4 linked regions of the Struthio camelus genome follow. The protein of the gene in region 1 purifies or fractionates together with the protein of each later gene. This does not show direct contact. Links are inferred from orthologs where the notes say so. Each region holds a gene or a part of one and is shown on either strand. Other genes may lie near its edges.

The links. Proteins that work in one complex are often made in the same cells at the same time.
Region 2: the proteins of TNFAIP3 (region 1) and RNF11 purify together in Homo sapiens (affinity purification with western blotting; 3 studies listed by BioGRID and IntAct, with this or other methods). This does not show direct contact. The link is inferred for Struthio camelus from reciprocal best matches to the Homo sapiens genes TNFAIP3 and RNF11.
Region 3: the proteins of TNFAIP3 (region 1) and CASP8 purify together in Homo sapiens (affinity purification with western blotting; 3 studies listed by BioGRID and IntAct, with this or other methods). This does not show direct contact. The link is inferred for Struthio camelus from reciprocal best matches to the Homo sapiens genes TNFAIP3 and CASP8.
Region 4: the proteins of TNFAIP3 (region 1) and MTOR purify together in Homo sapiens (affinity purification with western blotting, with the first as the bait; 3 studies listed by BioGRID). This does not show direct contact. The link is inferred for Struthio camelus from reciprocal best matches to the Homo sapiens genes TNFAIP3 and MTOR.

What each region holds. Positions count from the first base shown.
Region 1 is NC_090944.1:74,591,465-74,598,971, reverse strand, and holds the start of TNFAIP3 (tumor necrosis factor alpha-induced protein 3), read right to left. Parts: upstream 3,001-7,507; 5' UTR 1-3,000. UniProt on the Homo sapiens protein: Ubiquitin-editing enzyme that contains both ubiquitin ligase and deubiquitinase activities.
Region 2 is NC_090949.1:31,029,992-31,037,627, forward strand, and holds the start of RNF11 (RING finger protein 11), read left to right. Parts: upstream 1-4,621; 5' UTR 4,622-4,766; coding exon 4,767-4,889; intron 4,890-7,636. UniProt on the Homo sapiens protein: Essential component of a ubiquitin-editing protein complex, comprising also TNFAIP3, ITCH and TAX1BP1, that ensures the transient nature of inflammatory signaling pathways. Promotes the association of TNFAIP3 to RIPK1 after TNF stimulation.
Region 3 is NC_090947.1:10,353,574-10,361,383, forward strand, and holds the start of CASP8 (caspase-8), read right to left. Parts: upstream 3,016-7,810; 5' UTR 2,890-3,015; exon of another isoform or gene 2,679-2,889; intron 2,548-2,678; exon of another isoform or gene 1-2,547. Other genes in the region: caspase-8-like, read right to left, coding at 3,521-3,671, 4,550-5,039, 6,176-6,287, 6,938-7,029. UniProt on the Homo sapiens protein: Thiol protease that plays a key role in programmed cell death by acting as a molecular switch for apoptosis, necroptosis and pyroptosis, and is required to prevent tissue damage during embryonic development and adulthood.
Region 4 is NC_090962.1:6,555,659-6,563,259, forward strand, and holds the start of MTOR (serine/threonine-protein kinase mTOR), read right to left. Parts: upstream 3,016-7,601; 5' UTR 2,996-3,015; intron 2,943-2,995; coding exon of another isoform or gene 2,915-2,942; exon of another isoform or gene 2,726-2,914; intron 2,486-2,725; exon of another isoform or gene 2,372-2,485; intron 1,297-2,371; 5' UTR 1,254-1,296; coding exon 1,134-1,253; intron 771-1,133; coding exon 662-770; intron 1-661. Other genes in the region: UBIAD1 (ubiA prenyltransferase domain-containing protein 1), read left to right, coding at 2,915-2,942, 3,384-3,950, 4,898-5,385. UniProt on the Homo sapiens protein: Serine/threonine protein kinase which is a central regulator of cellular metabolism, growth and survival in response to hormones, growth factors, nutrients, energy and stress signals.

The DNA of each region.
Region 1 (7,507 bases):
ATCATTTACTTTGATCATTTACTCAGATATTGAAGCGAATTTATTCATAATGAACCAAGGAAATTGTATCACTGTTAAAAAAGGAGTCTGCATCAAAGTAAGGATAGAAGAAGAAAGATCAAGGGAATGGAAAATTATCTTGGAGTCTTGACTAATTGATAATGGCATAGTGCAACCCCCTATGAACCTGCTGAATTTTCAGCATGTTTCAACCTTTTGTTTTGATGACATGCCAGACCAAAAAAAGAAAAAAAAAGGCAGACAATGACCATTTCAGATTTCCACACAGCCCATACATTCTGAAAAGCGATGTTTGGTACAGTACAAAAAGAGACAGCCTGAATAACTACTTGCCATGCTAGTATCTGCCTCATACTTATGGTGGCTGAAGAGGGCAAATGAGGAATTTCCAACAGAGTAAACACTGAAGGCCAGATTTATGCTACTCCTCTCAGGGCTCCTTATGTTATGTGAACAGTAGAACTATAGCACAGAGGTGCTTGTGAAGCGTGTGGGGTTGCAAACTGTAGTCCCACTATTACTCAGCAGTAAGTCAACATAGCTGAAAAAGCATTTCCACTTGGCTCAAAAACCCCAATATTTTTCCGCAGTGGGACCAGTAATGTCTGCCAGCCAGCATCCTTTTCTTCAGTACCTCTGGCCCCACTGGCTACAGCAGGAAGAACAAAAAAAAAAAAAAAACAAACTTCAAACTATCTATGCCCTCTGAAATACTTGTTCAGGGCACACCAACGTTGCGGCTAGCTAGAGCCAAATATAGGAACCACGTCCCTCAAGACTCCTGCGCAGAACAGTAACACTACTAACAATGTATTTTCACATGGAGAGACCCTCCACACTACCCGATACATTACTACTCCATTTAAAAAAAAAAAAAAGCAAAATTTATTTTAAGAAAAATAAATGCATGCATATTTAAAATTTAGAAATCAGTTGGTTGTATTAGGAGAGCCTACCATTACGATTATGAATCGCATACAAATATACAGGGGACAAACATCAAGTCAGCTAGTCTTGATACATATCATGATAAGTTGAGGGAGACCAGAAACTACTGAAAACTGGGTAGTGCAACTATTAGGAAGTTATCTGGTGGAGATGGGAGTCTGGAGGGCCAGAAGGAATAAGATGGATGATAACCTGCCAGACGGACTGGGAAGGTGCTCCCAAGCCCATGGAGGCCAAAGCACCCTCTTGCACAGGAGACAAGCATGTCCCTCCGCACAGGGAACTAATGTCCCTCTTCTCTTCACCCACATCACCACCACTGACAAAATCCACTTTCAGCTGGAGCCCTGGAAAGGACTTTGCCAGGATAAGAGGAGACCTCATACTTCTCCTGTCCAGAGCTGTCTTGTATATCCTCCTCCAGAGCCAACTGATCTAGAGAGTCAATGAGCATCCTGTAAAGCCCTAAATAGAGGAAGGTGAGGCATGAGATGCTGCAAAGGCAATACAGTTCACTGTGCTCAACCAATGGGCAATGTAATTCACACAAAATTTCCTCTGCTCATGTAAAGGGCAGTGCTCACAGCCTTCACAGCTGGGAACACATGGAAAAGTTTTCCTCTAGTTAATGAAGACTGCATATTCTAAACACACCCCCTAGGAATACACAGCCTTGAAATGGAATAAACTCATTTTCTCATCCATTCTCCGCCCCAAACAATATAGTTTTGCATGTTACTGATGCATTCCTGTACGTAATTGTATGAATGGTTTAAGAAATGAAATATAAACAACCTCTTATTAATCTATTTAATAACCACAGCTGTATTTTGCACAGACCAGAATGCTGAATTCCTTAATTACACAAGTAGAGCCATTGAGTCAGTGGGATTTTTTTTACATGAATAAAGACTAATCACATGATTAAGCACCACTGGCATGGACCTTTGAAATGGTTATTTCCAACATTAAGTAACAAAAAGTACTAAGTTTACAGAAGCATTCACTGAAACTATACTATTCAATAGCATATTCTACAGGTATATTTTCCCCTCCACACATGTAAAGTACTGTCTGTGCCATTTACAGTAGTAAATGAACAACCACTGTTTTATAAGACGGTATGATAAAACAAACAGAACTCAGTAGACACCTAAGCTAATAAGACTCAAAGAACAGAAGAATCAGCTACAATTATATGACTTTACACTGTACTAGACTTTACTACATACTACATTACTTAATTACTTTAACATGTAATTATTATGAATTCTCTGAAAAAAGCAGTAAGCAGAGATTAAACAGCTATCGTATGCAGCATCTTTTCCCAAGGTATAATGCACAGGATGCTGCACTTGGGAAAAGACAAAGTGCGTTGTGAGCTCTGCCAGTGGCTTGCATAAGGTACTTTAATTCTCTGTTTTCTAGCTGAAAAATGATGATAATAAAGTATTTTTGGTAAAACGCTAAGATAATATGCAACTCTCGAATAAACATGCTTAATACATATTAACCAGATGGTCTTTGGCTTCCACTAATTTCTATGCCCAGGTGCTTCGTACAGAATTAAGCATATTATCAGCATTTAGCAGACAATAAAACAAGACTAGAATTTCAGAATGTTTTATGAGCCACAAGATTATTTTGTATAATTAATTATACAACATACTGGTCTGCTGGAAGCATGCATACATACGATGCAAATGACTGCATTACTACCAGATTTAAATGAGAAGAGCTTAAAGTGGAAAAGTCTTCTGGCAGCGGCAAGCACCAAAAGCGGACCTAACAAAACCACCGCAAGCTGAGAGAAGCCGACCTTAGCCCCACCGACCGGCAGGATCTCCGAGTGAGTCGGCAACACCGCTAGTCAACAGAGGGCACAATTTCACTGCCTGGCGAAAAGATTTCTAGCAAAAACTCTAGAAAACCCAACACAGCCGCTCCCGGCGCGTTAACCGCCTGGCTGCCGGGCGGCGGAGCGCACGCACGCCGCGGCCGGGCCCGCGCCCCCGCCACTCGCGCTCAGCTTTTCCACGCCGAAGCCCCGTTCACTCGTGCATTTCCCCCCGCCGCCTCAGCCCGGCAGCCCGGGCCGCCGGCGCTGGCGCAGGGAGCGCAGCGGCTGTTACCTCTCGGCGGGCGGGATCCTGCGGCGGCGGCGGCGCGGCGGGCTTCGGGCTGCGGGCTCCGCTCCTAAGTCCTGCTCGGCAGCCGGCTGGCGCGGCCGAGCGCGGGGGCCATGAACCCCGCGGAGCCTGCGCTGCCGCTGCTGCTGCTGCTGCCGCCGCCGCTGCTGCTGCTGCCGCCGCCGCCGCTGCTGCTGCTGCCGCCGCTGCTGCTGCTGCCGCTGCTGCCGCCGCCGCCGCTGCTGCCGCCGCCGCTGCTGCCGCCGCTGCTGCTGCTGCTGCTGCTGCCGCTGCCGCTGCCGGGCTGGCAGCGGCCCCGGGGTCACTCGTGGCGTCGGGCCGGGCTTCCCTCGGCCGCCCCCTCCCCGCCGGAGCTGCTGCCGCCACTGCCTCCGCTCCAGAATGAAAGGCTGCGCCGAGCCTCTTGTTTTTTCCCTTTCTGTTTTAGTGCCCAAGCAAAAACCCCCACCGGGGATTTCCACCTTCAGCGCTTGGGACTTTCCGACATGTGACAACCGCAGCGCCGGCAGCGGCAGCAGCCGCCGCCGCCTGCGCCGCGCCGCCGCCAGGGGGCGCCCTGGGGCCCCGCCGCGCCGCGCCGCGCCGCGCCGCGCCGCGCCGCGCCGCCCGACCTGCCGCGCCGCCCTGCGCCGCCCGGCCCGGCCCGGCCCAGCCCGGGCTGCCGTTGCTTTCCTGCCTTCTGCCCGCTCCCGCCTCGCAGCGCAGCCGGGGGCACATAAAGAAGCCGGGGGTTGTAGGTGCCCTGCCGGGACTGGATCCTGGCGGTCACATCCCAGTGAGATGGGAAAGGAGCCCGTCCCGTCCGAAGCTCTTGTTCTTCTTGACTGTTTCCAAACTCAGACCAGTGTTCTTGTCTTAGGTTACATCTGCTCCATAGTTTTGGCTTTGTGTTGTAAGTAACCACAAGTGACTTCGTTTTTTTTTTTTTTAAATTAAAGGTTAGGCTCTGTTATATAATCATATAACTGCATAGGCTGGTATTTTAGGCAGGAAGTGCTAATATACTTTAATCCAGTCCTGCTCAAGGGAAAGCCATTGGAGGAAAGGGACAGGACTTCTGACTCAAGTTGCCAAGAGAGGGGCATCTTAGTGTCTGAACAGGTCTGAACGTGAGACTGTGTAAACTCTTGGCTACACCTAGCAATCTATAAGAATCATTAAAGATCATGGTTACAATCAATTCATACCTTAACATCTTGAAATCTTTGCAATGGAAAAATTCACTTCATGATACCTAAAGCTATAACCTGTAATTGTAACTTAAGATCTTGTGACTGTAGATATTACTTATGAATGTGATTTATGCTGGGAAAAAAGCAGGTCCTTGCCCACTGGCTTGCAACCTGAAGGCACACAGAAATGAAATGTAGTGCAACAGAGTTTCTTGCAGTCTTAAAAAACTTTATCCTTGTAGATGCTGATCTCCTGCCAGTTCCTGAGCATCCTCTACTCCCACTGACTTGATGAGAAGCTAGGGTTGCGCTGCACCTCGGAGACAGGCCTTAAATCTTGACACCTTCACAAAGCAGGTGTATCGTGGAAGATTTCGGACCTGAGCTCCCTTACCTTGCTCCCATTAGCACCAGCTGGCTCAGCTCATGCCTCTGTGTCACATGCTGTGGTTATATGACAGCATGCTCTTCCGCAGCACTGAAAGTGGTCTTGTGTCTAGCTCAGTGTACTGTGCTGTCCTTTCTTCTCTGCCTGTGTTGAAAAAGAAGTCAGGGACATGCTTGAAAAAAGAATAATCTCTTCCAATTTTTAATTTGTTTTCTAACAAAACCTCCTCTCCTTGCATACCTTTCTTTTAGAGGGTTTATTTTGATTATTTTTTTTCAATGCAGCTCTTTTTTAGCCTTCTCCGCTGCCTTGCAAAGAAGTAGTTAGCTAGGAACTATCCACACTCAAGGATTGGTAGTCTGAGAAATGACTGCGGTGCAGAGAGGCTGCGTGCCTGTGGGAACTGGGCCTGAATGATTACTTGCATAACTAGGGCAGCAGTTGGGGTGTGGTTTACCCAGTGTATAATCTGTTTTCTTCAGCAGACAAGCCACTTTAAAAAAGTCCTGCTATTCCCTGCTTCTGGACATTTTTCCCTGCCCTCTCATTTGTGCTGAGGTACCGGATTACTGAAGCGCTCTGATTACAAAACAGCTTTTTTTTAATTTTTTTTTTTATTTTTTTCTTTTTTTAATACCCAAACCATTTGTCTGGTGTGGTTTGAAGTATGCCCCCTTGGCTAGTTTTACAGGAGTTGTCTAAAGGGATGGTGAGTGTAACTCTGATGTGGCAATGAAGACCTCTGGTAGGAAATAGGGGAAAACTGACTGATTTATACCCTGCTTTATACGTGAAACTACAGCAAATGGATTTGCAGGTGATTCTAGTCCCTTCTGGTTTGGGCTCACAAGAAGAAGAAAAGGAAAATAAGTACGAGTAAGGAGACTATTTAATAGGTCCACAGGTAATAGCTCTGAACCTATGAGGGAAGCGTTGAGTCCCAGGAAAACCTGAAAAGGCAGCAGCTTATTTTTGTTATTCTAAACTCTGAGCATATCTGAATATTCGTAATTACTATTTACACCTTGATAAACTGAAAATTGATTGCGCATGGCAAGGGATGATGTTTAGTGTACAGATCTGAGCAGGATGGCAGGAATTCATTTGATCTGAGTTTGCACATCACAAAATGAAGTTCTATCTTGTCAAATGGATCTCCTAGGCAATATAGTAATACATTAAAAACATCAACAACATCAATAATTATAGAATGAATATAATATTTATAGAATAAATATACATTCCTCTTTTTAGATATACTCCTATTTCTTGTAATTATACCCCATAGTTTATCCCACTATTTATGATACAATGTTTATATTTGGCAGAATATGAACATACATGCATACGCATATATAAGGGCAAGGAAAATTTTCCTTTTTGAAGTGTGTACACACACATGCACACACACACACGCACACACACACACACACATATATATGTACATGTATATATTATATGTAATGATTCCATTTAGTTAATTGTGCTTTGGGAGGAAGAATGAATCTCCCAAGACCTTGTTCAGCTCTATTTCTCTAAATTATTTTAATAGGTTTTTTCTTCTTTTTACTGTTCAGCAAGGAGGAGTTCATGCTCACTAAATTAAACCAAGACCTCAGTGTGTTCAGAAGATTGCCACCAAGTACTTTAGAGATTGCTTTACGAAGAACTCATTTTCAAGACAATACTTCTATAACATTCTATCATAGGATGATTATTATGATAATGTTTATGGATAGTAATATTCAGGCTTTAATAACTCAGTCATTAGCCAGATCTTTTTGGATCAGATAATTCTGTAAGAGGTATGATTCATCTAGAAGGGAGGAAAAGGGTCATAAAAGGGAAATCCCTTCTATTGCAATAGCAGTGCTTGAGGTCACGCTCAAGTTCAGCGCTTCTGTCTTCCAGAAGCCCTTTCGTTACTCCTTTTCCTGGCGGTGGCAAAGTGATGAGAAGAACTTGTTGGTGTATAGGAAAAAGAGGGAGGAAAATCCCTTAAACCTCAATCAGACAGAAAACTGGTGCTTACTACAGAATCAAATAGTGATGGCAAAAAAATACCAAGACTCATCTCTGCAAGAGCTGAACTGTTTTTGTGAATTTTCCGTTATGCTCATCTGAATACAGTAAGAAAAACTCCATATTTCCAAGGAGACTTCTGCTGAGATATTGTGGCAAGGGACTGTACTCAAAGTAGGCATCCTTATTCATGCCACTGGTCCAAGCCTCACTCTTTTCTTGTTCTTCTCTTCTTTCTAATGTCCATTTTGCAAACATCAGGAAGTAAAGGGCCGGAACTGCAGTAGGGTCCAAAGATGAAAGCTCAAATATTGCCTTAGCCACCTTTGTTGAGATTTAGGTTAAACGTTAAAAATAACATTCCCACATTAAGGCTGGTGAAACACTGCAATAAATGACCTGTGGAGGCAAACACTGGACATCTTTAAGAACAGGTTATCTTATTGGCTGGTTTTGCCTTGGAGCATGGGGGTAATGGGCCCATGAGATGAAATCTCAGAGTGCCTTTTCAGCACAATTTTATGACATTCTCTGAAATTCTGTGTGAAAAGGTTGCAATGGCAAGGATAATAACTTTCCAACTTGATTTTTAGCTGTCATTCATTCCTGTGTTATCTGTACCAAATGGATCAAGCCTGTAGGCCTCTGAGAACTGCGGAAACAGATAGCTACATGTGTGTATGTTCGAGATAGGAGCAAGACCCAGCGTTACTTACCCTCTGCAATGTATAGATAGGATTCTAATAAGCCCCCAACAAGAAATAAGCAGAAGACCGAAAATATTTTAACTTGAGAGAGCAAAGTGC
Region 2 (7,636 bases), on another chromosome or scaffold:
CATGGAGAACAATCTATACCTTTTCTCTTTGCGGAGACCTTTTATGTTTTTGAAGATAATTATCTCTTTTGCCAAAACTTTTCTTTAAGCTAAACAACCCCAATTCTTTCAGTCTGTCCTATCAGATCCTGTTTTCTAGGTCTCTGATCATTCTTCAAGTTGAGATTGCAATATGTATTACACTAAGAAAAAGGAAAACTGACTACTACACAAAATTTACTGTGAAGCTGGGTGGCAGAGGGCTTGTTAGAAGAGATTACTTTTGTACGATGATTGTCTAATTTTGATCAAATTTTTTTGCCAAAATACATGTCCTTTTTCTGCCTTGTGACAAACTGTGTAGATTCCCAATGTAGGGAGCAGACATTACACTCCTTGGTGATAAAAACTTCTGGATTTGGAGAAAACAGCTATTATGGAAGGTAACTTATGCCAGTAATGGAAAGCATATCCTTGCCAAGTTGTTGTCTTTAGAATAAACTGATACAAGGGATATTTGTGATACTGGGCAAATTTAAGCAGAAGTTTAGGGAGTTTCTAGCAACATGAGCAAACTACTGTATCACAAAGGCAAATCACATTTAAGGCAAATACATTAGTTGCATAATCGCTCTATTGTGCTGCATTCACTCTCTCTTGGAAAATAATACACTTTGTAATATATACTCAGAAATGCCTATGATTCAGCTAAAATATCAACAAAACTGGAAACGATCGTGTATTTTGGAAGATGCTGTGTTATTTATAACCAAATAAATTAACTCAGCCATTCCTACAACCAAATTCACATGTATAATAGAAGAATGTCATTTAGCAGTATTCCCCAAAAGTATGTATCACATTTTTTCCAAAGAAGTTTTAAAAATTATAATGTGCCTTATTTATCAACGTTACCTGGACAATTGGGGCTGTCTCTGAAACTGTGGCTTCCATGGCATGGAAAGATTTCACTCAGAAAGTAACTGGGCTTCTGTATATGAATTGAGAAAACAATTTTTTCCAGAAGAAAGATGAGACGTGACCAGAGAGGGTAAGCGCTGGGAAGATAAGGCCGAGGGAAGAAAAGGAAGTGAAAAAACTTTTTCTTGCTGAAGGCTGAACAGGTCTTTCAAATACTTTTGGTGAGTATGACACATTAAACGTATGCAAAATCATGTCCAATAAAAAAAATGACCATGGGTTATGTAAAATGAAGCTGCCAATGGTTTTTTGAATCGCTGAATCAGGCAGTTTATGATGTCAGTTTTGCAGATAAACTGTTAAGAAGAAAGACTGTTCAGGTCCTCAGTGGGTTTCAGATTTTAAAATCCAGAAGAACTGTAGAGGTTTTTTAGTAGTGTAGTTCATCATCTCTTGATAGATCATAGGAGCCTTAAAAATACAGTGTTATGTAACTTGTCTCCCCTCATATCAAAAAACTCCAAAGTAAAACAAACATTCAATTGCTTGCATCCTTTATAAACATTTTTCCTACATTTCCATTTTGTTTTTAAAAATATATTTCACTTGGAAGATGCTAGCTGCTAAATCGTAACTACAAAGTGGCCAAAACAGACCTGTGTATGACGTTATCATATTGAAACTTACTGGAATATTATTCCTGTATACTGGCAAATTTCAGTAAAAACTTATTTGTGAGCTTCCAAGCCTGCAAGGAACAAGGATCTCCTACAGCATGCACAGCTCTGAAATGGGGGCTTGCTTTGTTGTGGTCTACAGTCATCTGTATGTACCACTCTGTGTGTACAAGGAACATCTCTATGTCTATTTTCACAAAAGCAGCTCCTTTTTTGAAGAGTCTATGTACTTATCTACAGAAAGTAGGTACAGTGAAGCCTGCCAGATCTGTTCAATTTTCTGTCACTTAATGCTGAGAAACAGTGAAAACAGTTCATGTGTTCTCTAGAGAAACTCCCACCAAATGGCTCTTGAGCACTGAAGACAACCAACCTCTGTCTTGAAAAGTTCTTCAGCTGCTCTCTCATTCCCAAGATGCAAAAAAACCATAGTTGGCAAAAGCAGCAGCCTCACAGTCCATTCAGATCACACTATAGCATATATGGTGATATTACAAGGGCAACTTTTCTGTGTTTGTGAGCACAAGAATTTCTACATTCTCAGTCTCTGGGACCGCTGTACAACTTTTGACCCTATGGTGCATAGTTATTATTAACCACCTACCTGAAAAAATAGGAGTAAATGGCCTAGAACAACAAGCAGCCTAAAGCACCCTGACTCTGAAGAAATCAGTAATGACTGGTAACGGCTTTTTCTCTTTCCAAGCTCTCATGATTGCAGAGCCTGCCATGTTGCAAAGCCCAATGTGAAGTGCTCCCTCTTTGGTCTCTGTGAGTCCATCTTAAAAAGTCGATCTTTTCTGGCATTTGACAGTCTTCTAAACTGAGCCTGGATTTAGAGTATCCTGTATGTGCTTATGGGCAAGGGCTTAGCACTTAATGTTTTTTCCTTTTGGTGATCTGACTTAAGGTAAATAAAGGCAGTATCTATACTCTGGCACCCCAGGGTATATCCCAGCTGAGTGCTGACTCCATATTGGGATGAGACCAGAGACCCGTTTCTGTACAGTGGTTTCTGAAGAAAGGGGGTTTTGGCATGCCAGCCAGAAGGGAGATACCACCTGCTCCTACAGGACGTCTATACTGTACGACGGAGAGAGCAGGATTGTAAGGTACACTGAAGCATGTGCCTGGCCCGTGGACTGTGCATAGCTACAGTCACTGTGCAGGCTTAATATACACAGTAGGAATAAAACATCAAGTGACAGTTGAATAAAGAAGTCTTTTTAATTGCCAGTAATCTTGTTCCCAACGTTGCCACTGCACAACTAAAAATATCTGTAACTTAGCTGGAATCTCCCCTTAAGAGTCTCACAAAAGATAGCTCTGACATTGCCGTAACCCTGAAATCATCCCTGGGGGAGGTGGTTGTTCACTGGCTCCTAACTATTGCTTGGCTTCCTAATTGTCCTATTAAACTAAGTCAACGTACTTATATGTTAAACACCCAAATGACCGAGTCACGTACAGTAGTCATTATTATACAGCACCCCATTGCCCAGCCTTTCCACCATGAGTAACTCGCAATTTGTGCACCATTTTTATTCTCAGTTTCTTAGCCAAACTGAAAACGTGCTTGAACCCCACAGATGCCAGTCATGACTATGCTATGGCTGTCGATCCTCTATTGAAGGTGTTTAGGTTATTCATTGCAGAGCAGCAATGCAGAACTCCTTAACAGCAGTACAAGGAAATCCTCAAGGGAGAAGCTACCTGGATGATCAGCCACAAGTCTGCTCCCCGTTCTTCACGCACCTAAATCCCCGCAGGACCCCTCGAACGTTTCAGTAAAGGCTGCAGGGCCAAACGGATCAGCGTGGCTGGTGGATGCTTGGACCTAGGATGGAAACTACAGCGCAAATCAGGATCAAAGTAGATCAGCAGCGAACGCTTGGGCATTTAAAAAACTGGCCACGCTACACCGTATTATATAGAGACTGCACTTTCTAAATAGCCTCATCTGCACCCAACTTGCTTAACTGAAAAAAAGAAAAGTAACAAAAATGGATTTTTAAACGTATGTCGAGGTCTGAATTTGAAAGCCAGTGAGCAATTTTGAGGAACTATCCTAGAGGACAAAGTTGGAAAGAACACCTACAGGATGAAAAATGGATGAAAACTCTTTCCCTCGTCTTGGTGTTTACACGCATGCTACTGTATTAACACGGTGGAAGTGCAGGCATTTACTTTGTTGAAATCCGCATTTGCATCAGAAAGTGAATAAAACACATTTTTATAAATAATAATAATAAAAAAGAAAGCTAAGTATGTGGTTTGTTTTGGTCTCTGTCCATGTATAAAACGCCCGAAAGGCCATCTCCAAAGGCACGCAAGGGAAAGCGGGAAGGTCGCCGGCCTCTTCCCCACCTCCTGCCACGCGTGTCGCCCGCGCAGCCCGCGGGAGCGGGGAAGGAGCCGCTCCGCAGCCCGCCCCGCGGAGGCCGCCTCGGCAAAAAAATAAAAAAAATAAAAAAAAAAAAGAGGAAAAAAGGGGAGGGGGCAGCAGCGCGGGGGCGGGCGGCGAGGTGGGTTCAACCCCCGGCGGCAGCGGGGCAGCCCGCAATGGCCGAAAACAACCCCCGCCCCCCGAAGCGCTGCCGGGCGGGGCGGGGCGGGGCGGCGCCCACCATTTTGGGGGTCGCGGTGAAGCCGCCTCCAGGCAGGGGCGGCCGGGACGGAGCCCCCCCCCCAGCCCCGCTCCTCGCCCCGGGCCTCGGCGGCGGCTGCTAACCTGGCGCGGGCGGGGAGGAGTGAGGGGAGGAGCCAGGGCGGCCTGTGCGACAAAGCCCCGTGCGCAGAGCGCTGCTGACCAGGAAGCAGATCCGCGCCTGAGCCGCCGCCGCTGCTGCCGCCGCCGGTCCGGGGCGGGCCGGCCCCACCTGAGCCCCGCTGCTGCCCCCGCGGGCGGCTGACGAGCGCTGTGTCCCCTCCTCCCTCCCTCCCGCCCCCTTCCCCGGCTCGGGGCGGCCGCCGGAGCGGGCCGAGGCGAGCGGGAGGCGGCGGGCGGGCGGCCGCGCCGCTAAGCCGCTGAGGGTCGGGGCGGGTATGAGCCTCCCCGGCGGGGCGGCTGCCGCTGCGGGCTGCGCGCTGCGGCGCGGAGGCTGAGGCAGAGGCAGCGCGGCCGCCGGGGGCCGGCGCTCCGTCCCCGCGGAGGAGGAGAAGCCCCGCTCCGCCGCGGGCGGGGGGAAGATGGGGAACTGCCTCAAGTCCCCCACGTCGGATGACATCTCGCTGCTGCACGAGTCGCAGTCGGACAGAGCCAGCTACGGCGATGGGACCGAGCCGGATCAGGAGCCGCCGCCGCCATATCAGGTGTGTGGTGGGGGGGGGGAAGGGGCCGCGGGCAGCAGGGCCCCGGGGCCGGGCGGCGGGCTGAGCCCAGGTGAGCGGCGCCCCCCCCCCCCCCGCCGCCCCCCATTTTCCTTCTGTGAGGAGCCAACTTCGCGCCCGTCCCCGTCCTGCGCTTGGCAACTACCTGAGCCTCCTCCCTTCCTCGTAATGTGCCCCCTTGGGGGAAGTTTCTTTGTTTCCTTCCGCCTCGCGAATTTTAGCCTTTCAGCCAATGAGATTATTTTATTATTATTTTTTAAGGGGGGGGGGGAGAGGCGCCGTGCGGGGGCGACTTAAACTGGTCGAGGAAGGCGCAAGCCCGTAGGTGAGGAGAACAAAGCAAGGCCCCTGGCAGGATGAAAGCCAGAGGAAGGGGCTGACTCTTCCCCCGGCACAGCCCTGGGCCCAGGGGCTGTGGCGGTGGTCCCCAAATCTCAGCTAGAAAGGGGAGACGCTGATTTTTCTCCCCCCCCAGCCTGTGCAGCCTCCTTTGTTGTCCTCGCGCGGTGACATCACTGTCTGGTGTTGCTCTTTTCTCATTACTCTCTTAAACGAGAGACCACACACGCTTGCACCCAAGCTGGTCTCTGTCGGGTTATGTTTATTCTAGCCTATACTTCCCTCCCTTATTTTTAGCGGTAACTGAGCCTCAGTAAGTAACTTTTTTAATGTGCTAGATCCTATTTCCTTCGGTTGTGTGGGATACCAGAAAGGAAACGTTTTCCCATTTTTTTTTGTTTTTGTTTTTTCTGCCTCCCAGAGCATGATTAGTCCTGATTAGGACTAATCAGGAAGGTTAAAGAAATTTTGGGGATGTTTTCTCTATAATTTTATTCGCAGCAGAGGATGGCATCGATGTAGAATTGCGAGGCCGTTGATATCAAAAAGCTTGGGTTTTGTTTTTTCTTTTTTGACCTCCGTTCGGTGGTGACCGCAGAAAGAAGGAAGCTGAACTTGTGGTTGCACTTGTCCACTCCTTGTCATCTCCATCCCCATATATAGAAACGTATAGTGCTCTAAACAAGCCATCTAAAGTACATGACTGTACAGCAAGAAAAAACAGCATAAGAAATAAAAATTTCAGTAGCATAACTGCACATTTTATTCAAGTTTCAGAAATACTGTACTGTCTGAGAGAATAAAATGTGTTCCGGAGAAATCTATAAAAATGACAGATTGACACACAAATCCTGAAGGGTGCCTTGAGAGCTCTTTATTTTCTAGGATGGGAGTCATTCAGGAGTTGCAGAACTGGCATATAATTATCAGAATTGCAGGAAGTATTTAACTGGGTAGACTTGTAATCTACAAATGCTTGTACAAGTTCAAGAATTACAGCCCTGATAGGAATTTTCTTCAGCATTTAAGAGAAGCTGTGTATGTAGCAGTCATTGATGATGCAGTGAAACAACAGTGGTGTTACTTGGCAGTCTGTAGCTGTTTGGTTTGTATGAGTGCAAAAAAATTAATATTAGAATAAATTTTCTCACGTGGGAGTTTTTCCTGACTTATGTCTGTTTAACTCCAATGAATAGAGAGTATTTTGTGTCAGGTGAACTCTTTTAAAGGACATGTTATTCTAAGCTAAGTTTAAGTCATCCATTCTGCTTAGGAATGCATCGTATTGTTGTTAAATAAATGTATGAAGCTTGGCTGTCTGTGCTGTTTGTTGCGTATACATCTGTGCTCTCTAAGAAGACTTGTGGAGGGTGTTTGGGGGTTTTGATTGTTTTTCCTTTTTCTGTTTTGTTTTTTTGGCCTTGGAAACAACCTGTAGGAGCCACAAATAAAGTATACGTGCTCTGTAGGCCTTCTCAGGTTGGTTTCAGTGGTGGATAAGTAGTCTTCCTCAGCCTCTAGGACTTTTTTTTTTTAATTAAAAACTTCTTGGAAATAATTGATGATGATTGACTGATTAAAATAAATGAACTTAGAGATGTCTGTTATTGAGTAAGTGCATTCATATTAAAATCCCCCGTTCTTGAATAAAGCGGTGTAGCATTAGGTGATGCGCACATAAGAGTTTGGCAGTCTTGAGTGGCGTTGGCTGCCCTGAAACCCTGCATGTGATCTTCACAATCCCTGAATCTTAGGGTTAGGGAGAACAAACTCCGTCCGCCTTAGTGCAGGATTTTGTGTGAATTTCCTGCCTCGTATAGTCAAAATTCAAAGCTACGCTTTCCGCAGTTGTTGAGCCACCATGGCTAGTGATAAGAAGTCAACATTGTCTGCAGTACTGTACGGTATTTCATGCCCTTTGAGGTCAAGGGAAATATGTTACGTTTAAGGGATAACTTTGAATGGTTTTAGGTAGGCCAAACTCTAAAGTTGAAGAAGTCTCTATGTTCCGTTACGAAAGCAATAGGTAACTATGCTATTTTAACTTTCGGGTGACAACTTGAATTCCACTGTTACAAATGGGTGGATTATCCTTATGTGTGATAATTACTTCTTTCAGTGTTTTAACCAGAATTAGAATATATGAGAGAATATATAAGCCTGAGGAAGGAAAGCAAGGAAAAAGATAAAAAGAGTTTGAAAACTTGCTTGTGGCAACTAGCAGCCTGAACAAGAATACTAGTAGTTTGAAATCTAGCTCCTGAAATTCAGCCATAAAATGGACATATTTTAGAAGTCAATGAAACGTGTTATGTTTGCTTCTTTGGGTTTGCAGCAACGATGTGCCAGCTTTCTGAATTGATGCTGGAAGGTGTGCAAACTGAGGGGAG
Region 3 (7,810 bases), on another chromosome or scaffold:
GCTGGATCTCCTAAACCGGGGGCATTTTGTTTCAACGCCCTCTCTGGGCTTCGAGATTCCCTGCAGGAGATGTTACAGACCACAGACATAACAACTATTTTAATCAAAATTCTTCAGTAGCTGAACTTTTCACCGATTTGAGAGTGAACCCTTATACAGGCAGTGGGAACCAGTGGGAAAACATGTATTTCAGCAGCCAGTGCCATGGGAGAAAGCAGGCAGCATCCACAACACAAGCAGGCTCCTCACACATGCCAGGAATCCATCCTGCCAGTGGGTGATGAACGACAGGTCACGAAAGACCTTTTCAGTGGAGAGAATGACAAACTCACCAGGGAAGGCGGGCACAAACAGCTCTCAGGGATTAAACTGAACAAATACGTAACAAGATGCAAATGACAGGGCAGGGATTCACATCACCCAGTAACACTGTTTCTGCCTTTGCAGACAGTGATCCTCCCCAACTCTTCTCTCCTTTTCAAACAGCATCACTTTGATCTTGTCTGATTTCAGCTTAAGCCTGTAGGTCTTCAACTCACTGGCCTCACTTTCCTACCAACTTTCTGACTCCACTTTCTAGTGATGATACTTCTGCTGGCTGCAAACAAACACAGACTTGAGTGCCAGCATTGTTTTACTATAGCATTTGGCCTGCCCGCCAGGAGTCAAAGAAAACAGAAGACAGGTGAATAACTGTAGCTGAGGACCTTTGCAGAGGAGAGGAAATGGCTGCTCACTATTCTCCAAGCTCTGCTATCAGAAAAGGTAGAGAAAGAGGAAAAACAGAGCCCGAAAACTGTAGAGCCAAACAGTCCTAGGGGGCTTGCCTCAGTCCTACAGGGAGGGCCACAAGTATGTGCAAAGACTTATCAGCCAATCTCCCATAGGAGTCTGTGAATCATACTTTGCTCAAGACCACAGAATTGAGAGTGCGTTTTCTCCCTGATCACTGCACGAGCCACAGTGGGCATACAAATTCCTAGTATGGCTGCTTCCTGCAACGGCTTGCAACTATGATTCTTTTCGTAACTTATTCTTGATGGAATATTTCAATATGCATGAGGCAAAGGGGACGAAAACAGATCGTGTCAGTGCCAGAGTTCAAGGCCTGTAAGAACCAAAGCTCCTAATTCTCGTTGCTGTGCCTGGACATGGACAGAACAGCCGAATCCAACAGTGTGTCCAAGAACAGACTACAGGCATTCTTCTCTGCCACCAGTCCTTGTCTGTATGGCCACAATCACTTTCTTTTCTCATTATCCTCCCAATACATTAGCTCCTAACACATTTCCCCCTTCTTCCACCCCCACCTCACTTTCCTTGACCTTTCTCTGGTCTTAGAAAAACACTGCAATACAGTCAGTAGCACAAACCAATGTTAAAAAAAACTGATAAGGAAAACACTTAAGTTTTCATTGCAAGTATGCCTTTTGTACAAGCTAGAGATGCCTTCTGAGACATTAATGAAATTAACTGCAAATATTAACCTGGGTGCTTTCAGAGATAAGCCCTTTTACTTCTTTGCTCATTTGGACTTGCTTGATTTGCTTACCTGTTCATAGTAACTCATAAGCCTGACTATGAGGCAACAGTTCATTGGTACAAGAGAACTACTGCTTTAGAGGATTTTCACTGGCTTTTTTCTCTTTTAGTGGCTCTTCATGAGCAGGCAATAACACTGGCTGTGGAGATGAGTGGTCACAGCTTAATAGGTAGAACAAAACACCATGCAAGGCTGATGATGGGGGAAGTAATATGAAGAAAAAGAAATACTGCAGATGCACAAGTTCACCAATGACATTTTCTCAATCTTAGCCGTCATCTTCTAGTAAGTTTCTCCCAGAGGATGCAGTTACCCTGTTTAAGCTTCATTTCTGTACCATAAAACATTCACAAATCTAACTACTAACTTCATAGCAGGGCCTCATTTATGAAAACACTATAAGAAGGTAAATAAATTGATGCTAGATGTTTCATTAAATGGTTTACCAAATGTCAACCACAAAACTGCACCGTAACTAACAACACTTTCAGCAAATATTTGCCACAAACACCACACTCATTTACATAGTGGTTGTAACTTCTATTTACTATGTATGAAACCTGTATGAACAAAGCTGTAATTCTAGGAATGGACATTCTCCCTTTTACTTGGGAGGTGAAAAAGATTAAGCGGAGCAAAATGCAACTGCCGACACGTTGCCTGGAATTAAGGGGGGGGAAAAAAAAAGTCTCACACCAAGAACACAAGCATGATCGAGTGAAGAACCCCTGTATTATAGCTTAGACGTGATCTCCGAGAAATTTAATCTAAAACAAGCAGAAGTTAGGAAATGTCTCAGATCCATCCTTTACCTTGTTGTAAAGCTCAAAAAGGATGCAGCCTTTAGAATCCCACACAGCTCCCCTAAGCCACTACTCATTGCTGAAAGATGCAAGAAAAAAAATGAGCTTTACTCGCAGCAGCTGATACAACCATGAAAGTCCTGAATTTTAGCTCACTCTTCTCTACCATTTCTCCATTTGCTAAAGAAGGGATATCAATCTGCCACCTCCCAGGGTGACTGCCATAGAACACTTCAATGAGAGCAAAGATAACTTTTCCAGAAGAAGCAAGGTGTTTGTCATGCTGAACATGCCTCAGTCAACTCATCCGAGAAATACCACAGTGACAAGGGTGACAGAGAAACCAGGCGTATTTATTACAAAAAGCCCATGGCACCTAGAGTCAGTTGCCAGGAGGGGAAGCCATCTCAGAACTGTGGTTCTAAAGGAGTGAGACCTTCCTTCCACATGTCTGACAGTTATTCAATACAGACTGCCCTTAAGCGCGCCAAGAAAAAAAAAAACAAACCACAATCAGAACCCATATTATCAAAAAAAACTTACAAATCTCAGTGCTTTTTAACTGAGTTAATTAATAACAGGAAGCAAATAAAACTTTGGAGGGAAAGAATCAGAGAAGTGCAGACTTGTATCATGATTGTTGTCATCACCACCTCTTTTTGGTCCTTCTTGGCAGAGACATTATTTTTTGTGAAGAATACAGCTTCCAGATAGCCCATGATTCACTGCTGATGTATCTGTTAAAACCTTACTTGGACTCCCTGGGAAGCGATCCTTGCACTCTGCATCTAATTGCTGTTTTCTTCAGATTTCAAGGATGTATTCTCTTAACAACACAGACTGAAAATAGTATTTCCACTGACATTTCCAACAACGCTTAAGAATCATACTGCTCGGAAATGCTTCCTCACTCGAAACAAGGACTGAACAGACTACACTGCTTCTGCAGGACAGGAAAGCAGGTCCGTACTTCTCCCCTGCTCTACTAGGCTGCTACAAACTCAGGTGCCAGGAGACTGAATAAGCATGGGAATCAGAAAATTGAGGCCACGCGGCCCCTTGCAGGATTGTGAACTAACTACATAGATGCAGATAATTCCTCTTGCAAATTCTCTTGAATTCCATGAGGAGACGCCTTCCAGAGTGATTCCTAATTGACCGTGTCCTTATTTTTCTAATTTTCAGTTGACTGGGACTGTGGAATTTGGAAGATCAACTGCTTCCTTAGGGTTGATGATATCTTTGGCATCTGCTTCCATCCATTTAGTACTGCTCTTCCCACTTCCTTGTTCACTTCTGTCAGGATGGTTACCAGGTCCTTGCGCCTTGAACAAACATGAAGAAAAGGTACATTGAAATACATGGTACTTTCAACTAGGCCAAGAAGTTGACCTATGTTTACTCCAATAACATGAGATCTTGGGGAATGTTGGTATCTTCCCGTCATCCTGTCTGTCACTGAAATTGCGCGCTCTGTTGTGTAATCACAGCATTCAGTATGTACTGGGGAATAAAGTAACCTCTGTGTAGAATCACTTTACAAACAAACACACTCCTTTACCTTGGTTATGGTCAAAAGACAGCACTAAGATGACACAGAAGCAAATTTATGCATTTTCCAAGCCGTCCGCTGGACTTCACGAGAAAGCGGTGCCTGGAGAGAAATGTTATTTTCTAAATCAAGTTTAGGGTTGGGAGGTGGACATGGGCGAGGAAACAGGGAAAAGTACGAATAAAGGGTACTAATTTTTTGCCTGTGTACTCAAGCAACAAATTTGCCTGTCATCAGGTGTCACTGGAAGAAAGATCCCTTGTCATTTTAAAGATACATTAAAACAACATGTTCACACTTGTTTTTATGTATTAAACACTTGTTTACACACTTGTTTTACATGCTTTTTATGTTTTACACACTTGATGATGTGTGTTCAAATATATAAACACAAACTTGCTTATATGTAATGTTCCAACATTACAATTCTGGTTCCGTAACAGACAAACTAGGTAAGTCACTTGAACTTTGCTTCATCTGTAGAAGAAAAATAACAGTGCCCACTTCCGGAATAATTACTAAGCAGACACTGCTCTGCAGGTGAAAAGCATTATATAGAGCAAATGCAAAACAGCCATGTTTCAGCACAGCATGCTTAAGTATGTATTTCAACAATACCCCAGTTGTACCTGGGTTAAAAACAGTACTTACAGTGGGCAAAGCAACTCCATTTTGTCACAGAGGCACTGAATGTAAATACTGCCTGTCTTTGCGTGGCGGTAGCACTCAAAGTCTTCCACAGTAGCCATGCCAACCAGAATATCAGCCTGGTCGGGAATGGAAACCAGAGGAACAGCGTCTGTCTCAAGATGGTCAGAAAAGTCTTCTTTTAATGTGACAGCTGGATGACCTACAGACCCTTGGCAAGCCTGGATGAAAAACAGCTTGGGTTTTCCAGCAAGAGAAGGACAGTTAGATCCACTAAAGCAAGAGAGCAAATCTTTAATATTTACAAACTCCCCATCAACGCCTTTTATTTTGTCTTTTTCACCATGTGAAAGGACGAAGCAAACAAAACAGTCCATTTTGCTATGATCTTTCTTGCTGTATTCTTTAACTTTTGCATACATTTGGTTTGCTTCTAGATCCATGTACTCAACTGTCTCAAATTGAAGCCACTTAAAGACTCTCTTCAGCGCCTCTGTAAAAAGAAAGTTGGAAGGCACTTGTTAAACATGAACAGTGATAAGGAAGATGAGGAAACTGAAGGCTCTGTGTGGTAGGATAGATACTGGCAGAAGCATTCAGATCCCACCAATAAACTCACCTGACTGACACTCAGCCTGCCAAGTTTTAAGAAAAATCAGGGATGCCTAATTTTTTTTTTTTTTTTTAAACACAACAGAGGTGAACATCACACTGTCTAAAACAAAAGTGGATTTCAGATTATCTGATTAATCAGTACAATTTAGTGAAGCTTAGTGTGTTATGCAATGTGTTTAACCGTACGCTGCATAGCAATCTCAGATGCTTAAGAACAGCCCTTAGTTAGATAAAGAAGAAGTATTTCTTTAGCATGATAAATTCTGCCACTCTTAAATGATGTAGGTTCCTTATTATGTGAGAATGATCAGTGCAGAGAAAAGGAAAGGCCACTAACAAAGACAAGGTACCATGCAGACTTCTCAGCAACCGCTGACTTGGTGTTGTGTTGGCAGAGAGAAAACAGCTGGGAAACAAGAAGGCTGCAGACAGGTTAAGGTTAAAATGTTAGTGATGTATGCTTTTATAAGACAGATTTTAGTTTATCCAGATAAACAAATGACTCTCGCAGGAAGAAAGACTTAAGGAAAATGATAAAGCAATAGAATTGCATTTATTTGAGCACTGCTGCAAATAAATGCAATGCTGACTAGATCAGAATGCTTTCTCAGCTGATAGCATGGCAAAGCTACACCTTTCACTCAGTAAATTAAGCAAAGAAATCATTAAAGAGAATTTAAGGACTTAAAAAGTGTTACTTTATGATAGTTAAGAAGTAAAAAAAAAAAAAAAATCAAAACCTGAGAAGACGGAATAGTAATCCCTCCTTCACTATTTGATATATACACAAACAATTAAGATGATACTCTTTTTTTTCAACCTTCCTTGAGCCATCACCAAAATTGTTGGAAGTGGCATATTTCCAATTTTTGCAGTGACTGTCACTCTAGTTACTTATTCTGGAAGCAAAGGAGCTTAGTCAAAGTGGCCGTTCTTCACAGGAAAGATTAGGCAATTCTTTCGGAGGGTAACACAAAAAACCAAACCAATAGTTGGATTTTAAAAAGTACTTACCTCCATCTTTCACTGTTCCTTTCCTCATGCCTTCAGGATTTTTAAAAATGTAGTTGTTAAGAATCACACAGTAACCATGGGGGTTATTTTCCATCCTATATGATTCCACAAGCTGTAGAAACACAGAAAGTAGGTAAGAAAGCAGTGCCAAACATCCAAGGGATGTATGCTCTGCAGAGATCTTTGCTCTTCCGTGCCCAAACACGAAAAAATCATGAGGGCCAAGATACAAAAAAGGAAAAGCCCAGACATACGAACCAGCCCTGGGTACAGGGGAAAAAATGCTGCTTCCTTTTCCTGAAATCCCTTCTCTCAATCTGTGGCTGCAATTTGATTTTGGAATGGAAAGTGGATATCCTGAAACATGTGCAGAGGAAAGGTTCCTGCACCATACCATTTCCTCTCAGAATCTTGCTGAGTTTCTCGTTAGGCAACTGATGCTGCGGGTCCCTTCCCATCTGTTCAGCTTGAGCTGGAAGAGGATGGGATACTCTTACTTTTGCCCATCCCAGTCTCTGTCATCTTTAAGATTGTTTTTCTTCCTATGACAGCTACTCTTTCATTTCTTGTCTACAAGGTTGCAGGCAGCCAGGTCCTCACCAAGGGACAAGGCCTGGTCTTCTTTTGAAAATGAAAATCCTTCCAAAGCCTATATATGAAGCCAAGTCCTCTCCCTTTTACCCCTTCTCCCTTCAGTTTTAGGGATCTGTGCTCCCACGAGCTGGATGAACACTTCAAAGGCACTCTTGAGGCATTTCTCACCAGGCGTGCTTGTGTTCCCTCCTCTGCTCCTTGTCCTGCCGGATTCACAGACATGCATGTTGGATAGCAGAGCTTTTCCTCAGAAACATTCCCTAAGAGGAGGATAAACAGGACACCTTAGGAATAAAAGAATAAGTCTTCCACTTAGCATATTTCAACACCAAAAGAACAATGCAAGGAGTGAGGCAAGGGGTGGTTTTCACACCATTATTTTGCAGAGATTGTGTCAAGGAAGGTTCCATTTTTGCAAACTGCTGGAGAGTGAAACTGCGCAGAGCGTTCCTTGGAACAAAACATACATTTGTGTTAGACTGCTACATCCCATTGCAAATACTGCCAAAATTACAGCCATTAGGTAAAAATGAACTTCCAGCCCCCAGGCACAGCCAGATGCTTGAGACTGGAAGACAGTGTGCGCTGCATTCCCACAATAATCGTATCGCATTCCAGTCCTTCCCTGCCCTTCGGCTGGCAGCAAGATCCAGGAAATCTAAGTCGGGATACGAGCACTCACCCCAGGCAGGCCATTCACTGGCATCCGCACTACAGGATACAGAAGTGAAAAAGACGACCTATTTTTGTACAGTGATACAGCTCAGTGATACACTCAGCTCATTCACTTCTGAGGCCGTCACCTCGTCTCCAATGCATTTTAATTGCTTGGGTGGACAAACCAATGAGGCAGAACATCAACATAATGGAAGACTTCCTCAAAACAACAAAATGCTGCCTTGAATACAACTGCCTGAAACAAGTGAATAAACTCTCACACCCAAGACTACACTCAAGGAGATAAATCACAATACCCCTTTTACAAGTCAGTTATATAGATGAGTTTAAATGAAATTTGGTTGTAAAGGCCGTAAGTGCTCT
Region 4 (7,601 bases), on another chromosome or scaffold:
CTTCCGCTGTCTTCAAATATGTTGGGGTCGGACGATTACGTCTGCGAGCCTAACCCATAGGCAACTCCTATTTGGCTATTAAAAAAAGCAAATGCTACAATACGGGCTACACAAGCTGATTTCCCTAGGAGTCGCAATGCAGGCAGTTCTGCCATATCACAGTGAAAGCACAACCAGAGCAACTGATAGAGCAGCTGATGAGAATAAAAGCAAAAGCTACGTGAGCCCCTCCCAGGGATGGAAGCTGCTGTCATTGAGCCAAGTGAATTTAAATAACAGGAATCAATGTCCTCAGGCAGAACGGAGCTCGGAAAGTCAGCCCACCATGACACACATAAGCGGACAGCACAAACTCTGTTTTCAGACGAGCTCAAGATCAGAATTTTCAAGCGCTCGGCGCTCATATTCGATGCTCAGCTCCCAGAAGAGCTCAGCGCCCACGGAGCACCAGGTTTTCAGCCACTCTCAGCACTCAGCAGCTCCCATGCTGACGCTCTTGGACAGATTTTCAAGAGAACCCAGTGACTAGCACGCACCCAGCGTACTAAGCGGTCAAACATAAGGCCACGATCAAAAAAGTTCATTCCTTTTGAAAAGCTGTCCCTAAAGAGTAGTTGCGTGAAGAGAAAACTCACCAAAGGCATTAAGCACTTTCACTCACCTATAGCCAGAATGCCACCCTTCCTTTCATTTGCATCAGAGCTAGAGACCAGCTCAAATATGTGATGGTTCAGCTGATCATAAAATTTGGTAGATTCTTCTTGACTCATCTGCAAAATGAAAAAGTTCAAATCAACTTTCATCATTCTCCACGACCACAGACACCCCCAAAAAGACAACGCTTTCCAGGTCCCTTAAACACAAAGAAATTAAGTTAACCATACATTACAAACACAAAATGGTATAGCTCTTCTTTGTGCCCTAGACCTATCAGGTTGTATTTATTCTAGTGCTTGGCCATCACCGGAGTCCCCAACTCAGGCACCCTGCCCACATGCCAGGGCAAAGGTAAGCTCCAGTCTTTGCTGGACCTCCTCTCTAAGACAGTTTCCATATTCCAAAATCTCCACCCCCAAAGTACCCAGCCAATGCATTACACCCATGTGATAAACGTTCTCATTTGCAGGACTCACTTCGCGGAGCTCCATGGTGACATAGTGTTGCAAGTCCTTGGCAGCTTTTGCCCTTGTCTCTTCGCTGCGACTCTTCAAGCCATTGGCAAATTGCTGGAGAATGGACACAGTGCCTGACATGATGGCGGTGTGCTGGGGCTCGGCGCATCAAGTCCTGTAAGTACTTCAGAGAAAAATCTTTTTAATGCTTTCAGCTATTGCATACATCTGAAGTTCTTCCTTGACACTGCCCCTACTGACTGTCTCCAAAATACACATCCCAAAGCTTGAAAGGAAGTTGTTCTGAAAGAGTGTAAAAAATATAACTAACGACTAGTTTCCCTAGGCCCTACAACACTGTGATAAAACCACATCATCACATAACGTCATGACCCAGCTCCCTCGTTCCCTAGTTCCCCAAACATACCTCCAATAGGTCAGATTCCTAATCCTATGGGGATCTAACCCTAAGTTAAAGGGCATGCGACAGCTGAAAAGATACTAGGGTAGAACCAAGCTCTAGAATCACTCTATAAAAAGTAGGCAAAATAAGTAGCTCTGTCATTGTGTCGCTGCCGTATTTGACTCCTCCATGAACACCTTCGCCCAAGGACCTCCCCAAAAGCCTCGCTGGTCTAGCTACACAACCAAGACTCAGCACCCTGGGCCTGGTAAGCGTTACATCCTCCAGCACGTATTTATAAGGGGGAAGTCTACTGTCAGCAACGGCAATCACTGCAACAGGATGTTTACTATCGCAACGCACAACCAAACTTTCTTACGAGCACTTCTCCTTGGGGAAAGTTGTCTTTCCCCTGAAGTCCTGAACCCCCCTGGATCCTCAGGCTGTATAAACCCAAGCTGCGCGCTTGCACCCAGCAGGGCCGGGGAGCGACACCTGAGCGCCTTCTACCCCGCGCACCGCCGCAGAGCCCCACCGAGGTCACAGAAACGGCGGGGCGGCCCCGGCCCCCTCAGGCCGCCGCCAGGGCTGAGCCGGGCGGCGGGAGCGCCGTGAGGCGGCAGCGGGAGCGCCGCGAGGCGGCGCCGGGGCCCCGCCGCCGGGATGCCGGTGAGGTGAGGTGGGGTGGGGTGGGGCGGGCCAGGCCGGGGTCTCCCGCCGGCGAGGCCGCGGCCGGCCTGGAGGCCGGTGCCGCTGACGGGGCGCGAGGCGCCGGCCCGGTGAGCGGCGAGGTGGGGGAAAGGGGGGGGGGTTATTCCCGCCGGAGGGACGGGGAGGCTCCGGGAGCCGCACTCACCGCCTCCGCCCCAACCGCCACCGGCTCCCCCGCTCCGGGCCCCTGCGCCCTCCCCTCCCCCCGCGCCTGCCGGGCCGGCCAGCCGCCGCCCGCCAATAGGCGCGCCGAAAGACTTTGACGGGCACGGCTTTCGGCCAGTAGAAAAAGAGAAGGGAAGGCGCCCTCCCGGCCCCGCCCCTTCTCCCGAGAACCGCTAGGAGCGACTGTGGCGGCTCGACCAATCATCAAGCCAGCTGGGAGTAACTGACAGTACGGAGTGACCAATGGGAGGGCCAGGAATGCTCGATTGGTGAAAAGTCGGGCTAGGCCTGCCCTCCGGACTCCCACCGGCTTCCGCCCCTCCGTAAAGCGTGTGCGCTTTCTGCGCATGCGGAGGGAGGGGAGCGGGGCTGCGCCCGGTGTGCGGCACTGAAATGTGTCCGGCTTCGCATGACAGCGCCAAGGGCAGCGGGGCGGGGGGAAGGCGGCGGCGGCGGCGGCGGCGGAGCCGTGCTCCGTTACCGTAATGGCACCGTGTAGCAGCGCCGGCGTGTTTGTCGTCCCATGTGCTTCGAAGTGACCACTAGCAGCCGTGCGTAACAACGCGGGGCGTTTAACGTTTACACCGGGGCGGGAAGTACTTACGGGCCGTTAAGGAGCTGCGTGGGCCTCCCCCCGTCTCCTCCCCAGCCCGGCGCTGCGGCGGAACCCTCAGCGCGGCGCCGCTGCGGCGGGGAAGGGGAGGAGGGGGGGCTCAGGGGGCAGCGGCCGTTGCGACCGTTGTGGCGCAGGCGCGCGGGGCGGCGGCGGCGGTTGGGGCGCGCGCGGCGGCGGCGGTTGGGGCGCGCGGCGGCGGCGGCCGTTGAGGCGCGCGCGCAGCGCCCTGTCAGAGCGGGTGAGGGCGGCGCGCGCGGCCCCTCAGGCGCTGCCCGCCCGGCATGGCGGCGGCCGTGGCGCTGCTCCGCGGGGCCCGCGGCCGTTGGGGCCCCGGGGCCGGGCGGCGAGGCTGACGCGCGGCCCTTCTCCTTCCCAGGTGCTGCTGCTGTGAGGCGGTGTGGCCGGGACCGCGGGCAGAGCATGGGGTCGGGAGAGCTGATGCAGAAGATCAGCATTGGCGCAGAGAGCCCCCGGGGCGGCGAGAGGAGCGACTTCGTCTCCGGGCTGGCTGTGCCGGAGAGGGGCCCCCCCGGCTCCTGGAGGCAGAAATGTGCAGCCTACGTGCTGGCCCTCAGGCCTTGGAGCTTCAGTGCCTCCCTCACCCCGGTGGCGCTCGGCAGCGCCCTGGCGTACCGGGCCCAAGGAGCACTAGATCCAGGGCTACTGGTGGGAAGCGCTGTGACTGTCCTCGCTGTGCATGGAGCAGGCAACCTGGTGAATACTTACTATGACTTCTCCAAAGGCATTGATCACAAGAAGAGTGATGACAGGACTTTGGTGGACCAGATTTTAGAACCTCAGGATGTAGTCCGGTTTGGAGTCTTCCTTTACACTGTGGGCTGTATCTGTGCTGCTGGGCTCTACTGTGTCTCTACACTCAAGCTGGAGCACCTGGCCTTGATTTACTTCGGGGGACTTTCCAGCTCCTTCCTTTATACTGGAGGTAAGCGTTATATCCCATTCCCTGTGATTCTGATGCGGACGTGGGAGAGTTTACTGACTTATCTAAGGGCTTCTGGAAGCTCCAAGTGATCTGGTTAACTATTGTACAGCTATTTGGTGACACTTCCTAGAGTACTGATACTTAGACTGGTATTCTTTGTCACTGGTTGTTTTGGGAAGGCATAGGAGTAGATGCACTCAGTTCTTCAGCTGGCAAGTGCTATTGAGACATTATTGCATATATGACTTTAGGTGCTTTTCAAAACTTGCTGAAACGTTGGATGATGTGTATCTGGTGTCCCTTGACTGTATAGCTCACTGCATATATTCTTTTTTATGGGTAGAATTACATTATGCATTGTGTTGGAATATGTTGTTATTCTTCAGAAGGAGTTTCACTGGGACTGTAGAATAGTTTTTGTATTTGTTTTTACTAAGGAGAGAATTTTTTTTTGCATAGAAGAGGATGTTTTGATGTCTTCCTGGGTTGGGTAAATACAAACATAAAATATTTTGCTTAGGAAAACAGGAGCAAACTTTTAACTGTCGCATGAGTTTACTTGAAAGAGCCTTGTCAGTTTTGTGTTTTGTTCTGAGCGTTTTATCTGTTTCTTCAGGGTCAGATCTAGTATGTCTGATCACTGTAGAGAGTGCCTTATTTCTATTGATTTCTGTGGAAATAGGGTATTTCTTGGTGTGAAGAAGGGTATTAGAACCCGGCCCTTAATTTTGTCGAGTGGTTTGGCTGGAGAAATTCAGAAGCTGCTTTTCTTTTATTACCTTTAGAAAAGAAAAAAAGAGAGAACGTTTGTCAGCTTTAGGTATGTACCTGTTGTTTTTTTACAATGCTTCTGTGGGAACAGCTGATCTGTTATAAAAAAAATCCATTCTCCTCTGTAGTTTGAGTCGTTTGATGACACTTCATTTTATTCTTGTGTCTTGCCACAGGAATTGGATTTAAATATGTTGCACTTGGAGACGTGGTGATCCTGATCACCTTTGGGCCCCTGGCTGTCATGTTTGCCCATGCTGTGCAGGTTGGTTATCTGTCTGTCTCACCGCTGCTCTACGCTATCCCACTAGCTCTCAGTACCGAGGCCATCCTGCACAGCAACAACACGCGAGACATGGAGTCTGACCAACAGGCGGGTATTGTCACCCTGGCTATCCTCATCGGCCCTGCCTTCTCCTACATTCTCTACACCGTGCTGCTCTTCTTGCCCTACCTGATTTTCTGTGTGTTGGCCACACGCTACACCATCAGCATGGCCTTGCCTCTTCTCACCATCCCAATGGCATTTTCACTGGAGAGGCAGTTTCGGAGTCAGAGCTTCAACAAAATTCCTCAGCGGACAGCCAAACTCAATCTCCTCTTGGGGCTCTTCTATGTTTGTGGTATTACCCTAGCACCAGCCGGGGCTCTCCCCAAACTGTAACAGGAGCTGTAGAGTCAGGCCTCACAACTCAGTATTAACACCAATTAACAGTGGTCGATGTGGGTGGATGACCTGTTACGGACAGTAGGAAGAATGGAGAGACCTTCTTGAGCTCATGATTGTATGTGAATTTTATAATTTCTGGTCTCAGTTAGCTTGCACGACAGATTTCTGAAAAGTGCTTTGTCAGTCCTTTGGAAGGGATGACCTGCGCTGCGTTGCTTCAGGAGGAACAATGCAACTTGAGAACAAGGAAACGTTTAAAGAACCTTGTGCTTCTGCCACTGAATTCTGAGGGGCTTTCACCGTTAAGTTAACGGAAATAAGCCTGAGCCTCAAATATAAACTCTCCTTTCCATTTACAAGCACAAGGATTGCTCTTATGACTCCTTTACCGCGGTCAAGGGCTTCCAGTGTCTCCTGCGCGGTAAACACAAAGCACTGCCAAATGTTTAGTGTCACAACAATGCAGGCGCTCTCGCTTCGCTCCCTTGTGACCATAGTTCATCTTCATCTGTTGTATGTTTTAATCTTTTTTGTTTTTCTTTTCCTAGCCGAACTTTGAACTTATGTTTCCCAGCCCCTGGAAGACACCAGATACACAAGCATTCGCTGTTGCCTCTGCTTGTTCCTTATAGTCAATGTGTTTCTGTGGTATGCTGATGCTAAAATGGAGCACGACTGGCCCACCGCATAAGCTTTAAGACAAAAACCAGTAAACTTTATCCCTCTAAGAAAGTTGAAGTCATAAATGCAAATTATGCAACTGAAAAGCCCTCAACACCTAGGAAAACCAGTGGCTTTCATTTCTGCATTTGCTTAGGATTTACTCTCTGAAATGACAGTCTTGGAGTTGAGGGGATCTGACAGACAGGGTGACAGAATTCTCTGGCTGGATACAGATAAATGGATGTATTCTTAGTTGGAAAAACTGGTTTTTCCAGTTGTCATTCTCTCTTTTTATTTAGAGGCCCAGAGTATTATAGCTGAACGTCGTTTTTTAAGAGGCCCTGTAAGAAGCCTTGGTGGCAACAAAGGAAAAAGATACAAGATTAGAAGGAAGAAATCAGGATTCTTGCATTGGCTCGGCCCAAAAATTGGGACTGGGAAAGGGATGGAAATATTTTTGCTAACATGTTCTTTTTCTAATGGAGTAGAGGGTTTGCATGACTGAAAACACATTTATGTGATAAGTTAGCTGTGAAGTGGGGTTCCCCACCTCTTTCCACCTCTACACCTTATGATTTTAATTTTCTTCTGCAGGTTTTGCCACTTGATTCACATGGCCTTTTGGGGAATGGGTAATTTCAGTCAATATGTAGCTGTGTGAAAAACAGACCATACCAAACTCAGCTGGGAAATACCAGTGATTTTCAGTGGAGCCATAACCTAGGATGAGTTTGGTCCGTTCCGTGTTTCCTGGTAGCACCTGAACTCTCTTCTTGGTTGAAGAAAAAGTATTGGTTTCTTATACGTGAGGTTTTGGTGAAATGTTTATTCACAGAAGTTGTGAAAAGGTTGACTGGAATCGATACAGCTGTTGGACGGGAGCTGCTGGTGCCTGGAGCACAACCTTGCTTTTGAATCAAACGAGAGTAGGCTTTTAAAGGTGAGCAATAAACTACCAACACAAGCTTAGCATTATCCTGCATCTGTCCTAGGTAAATTATGCCCTTGTGGTGTTCATCTGAAAATGCTGGGTGTTACATTAGTGGAGCGTACTGACAGCGGTAAAGCTGAGTGGATACGAGGTTAGTTCAAGTGACTGTTTTTATGGCTTCCTGTTACCCGGCTGTTGGTCTGTTGCTTCACAGCTGAGTTGTAGTTAACTATAAGGATTCTCTCCAGGCAGATTTTGCAAGCCCCAGGTTCACCTTTTATTAAAATTGGGCAGATGATCTCTAATCTGACTAGGCACAAGCCAAAAGGCAACTGGGTGCTGCTTTCTACAGCTAAAGATTTGTATAGGTTAGGAACAGGATGAGAAGATGCTGAAGTTCAGCTCAGCCAAATGGAGGGAGATAGCCAGAAGCTTTTGGAAGCAGCTTTCAAGACAGTTGTGTACAACCCAGTGTCTACTGTTACTTCATTGCGGACCTAAAGAAGAGTCTAGCTTAGAAACCCACTTAACTTTTCTGCGAAGCAAAAGACATGGCTTGAGTTGGTTAATCTGTTAATCTTACCCTTTTGGATAGGTGGTTTTATTAGGTTAAGCC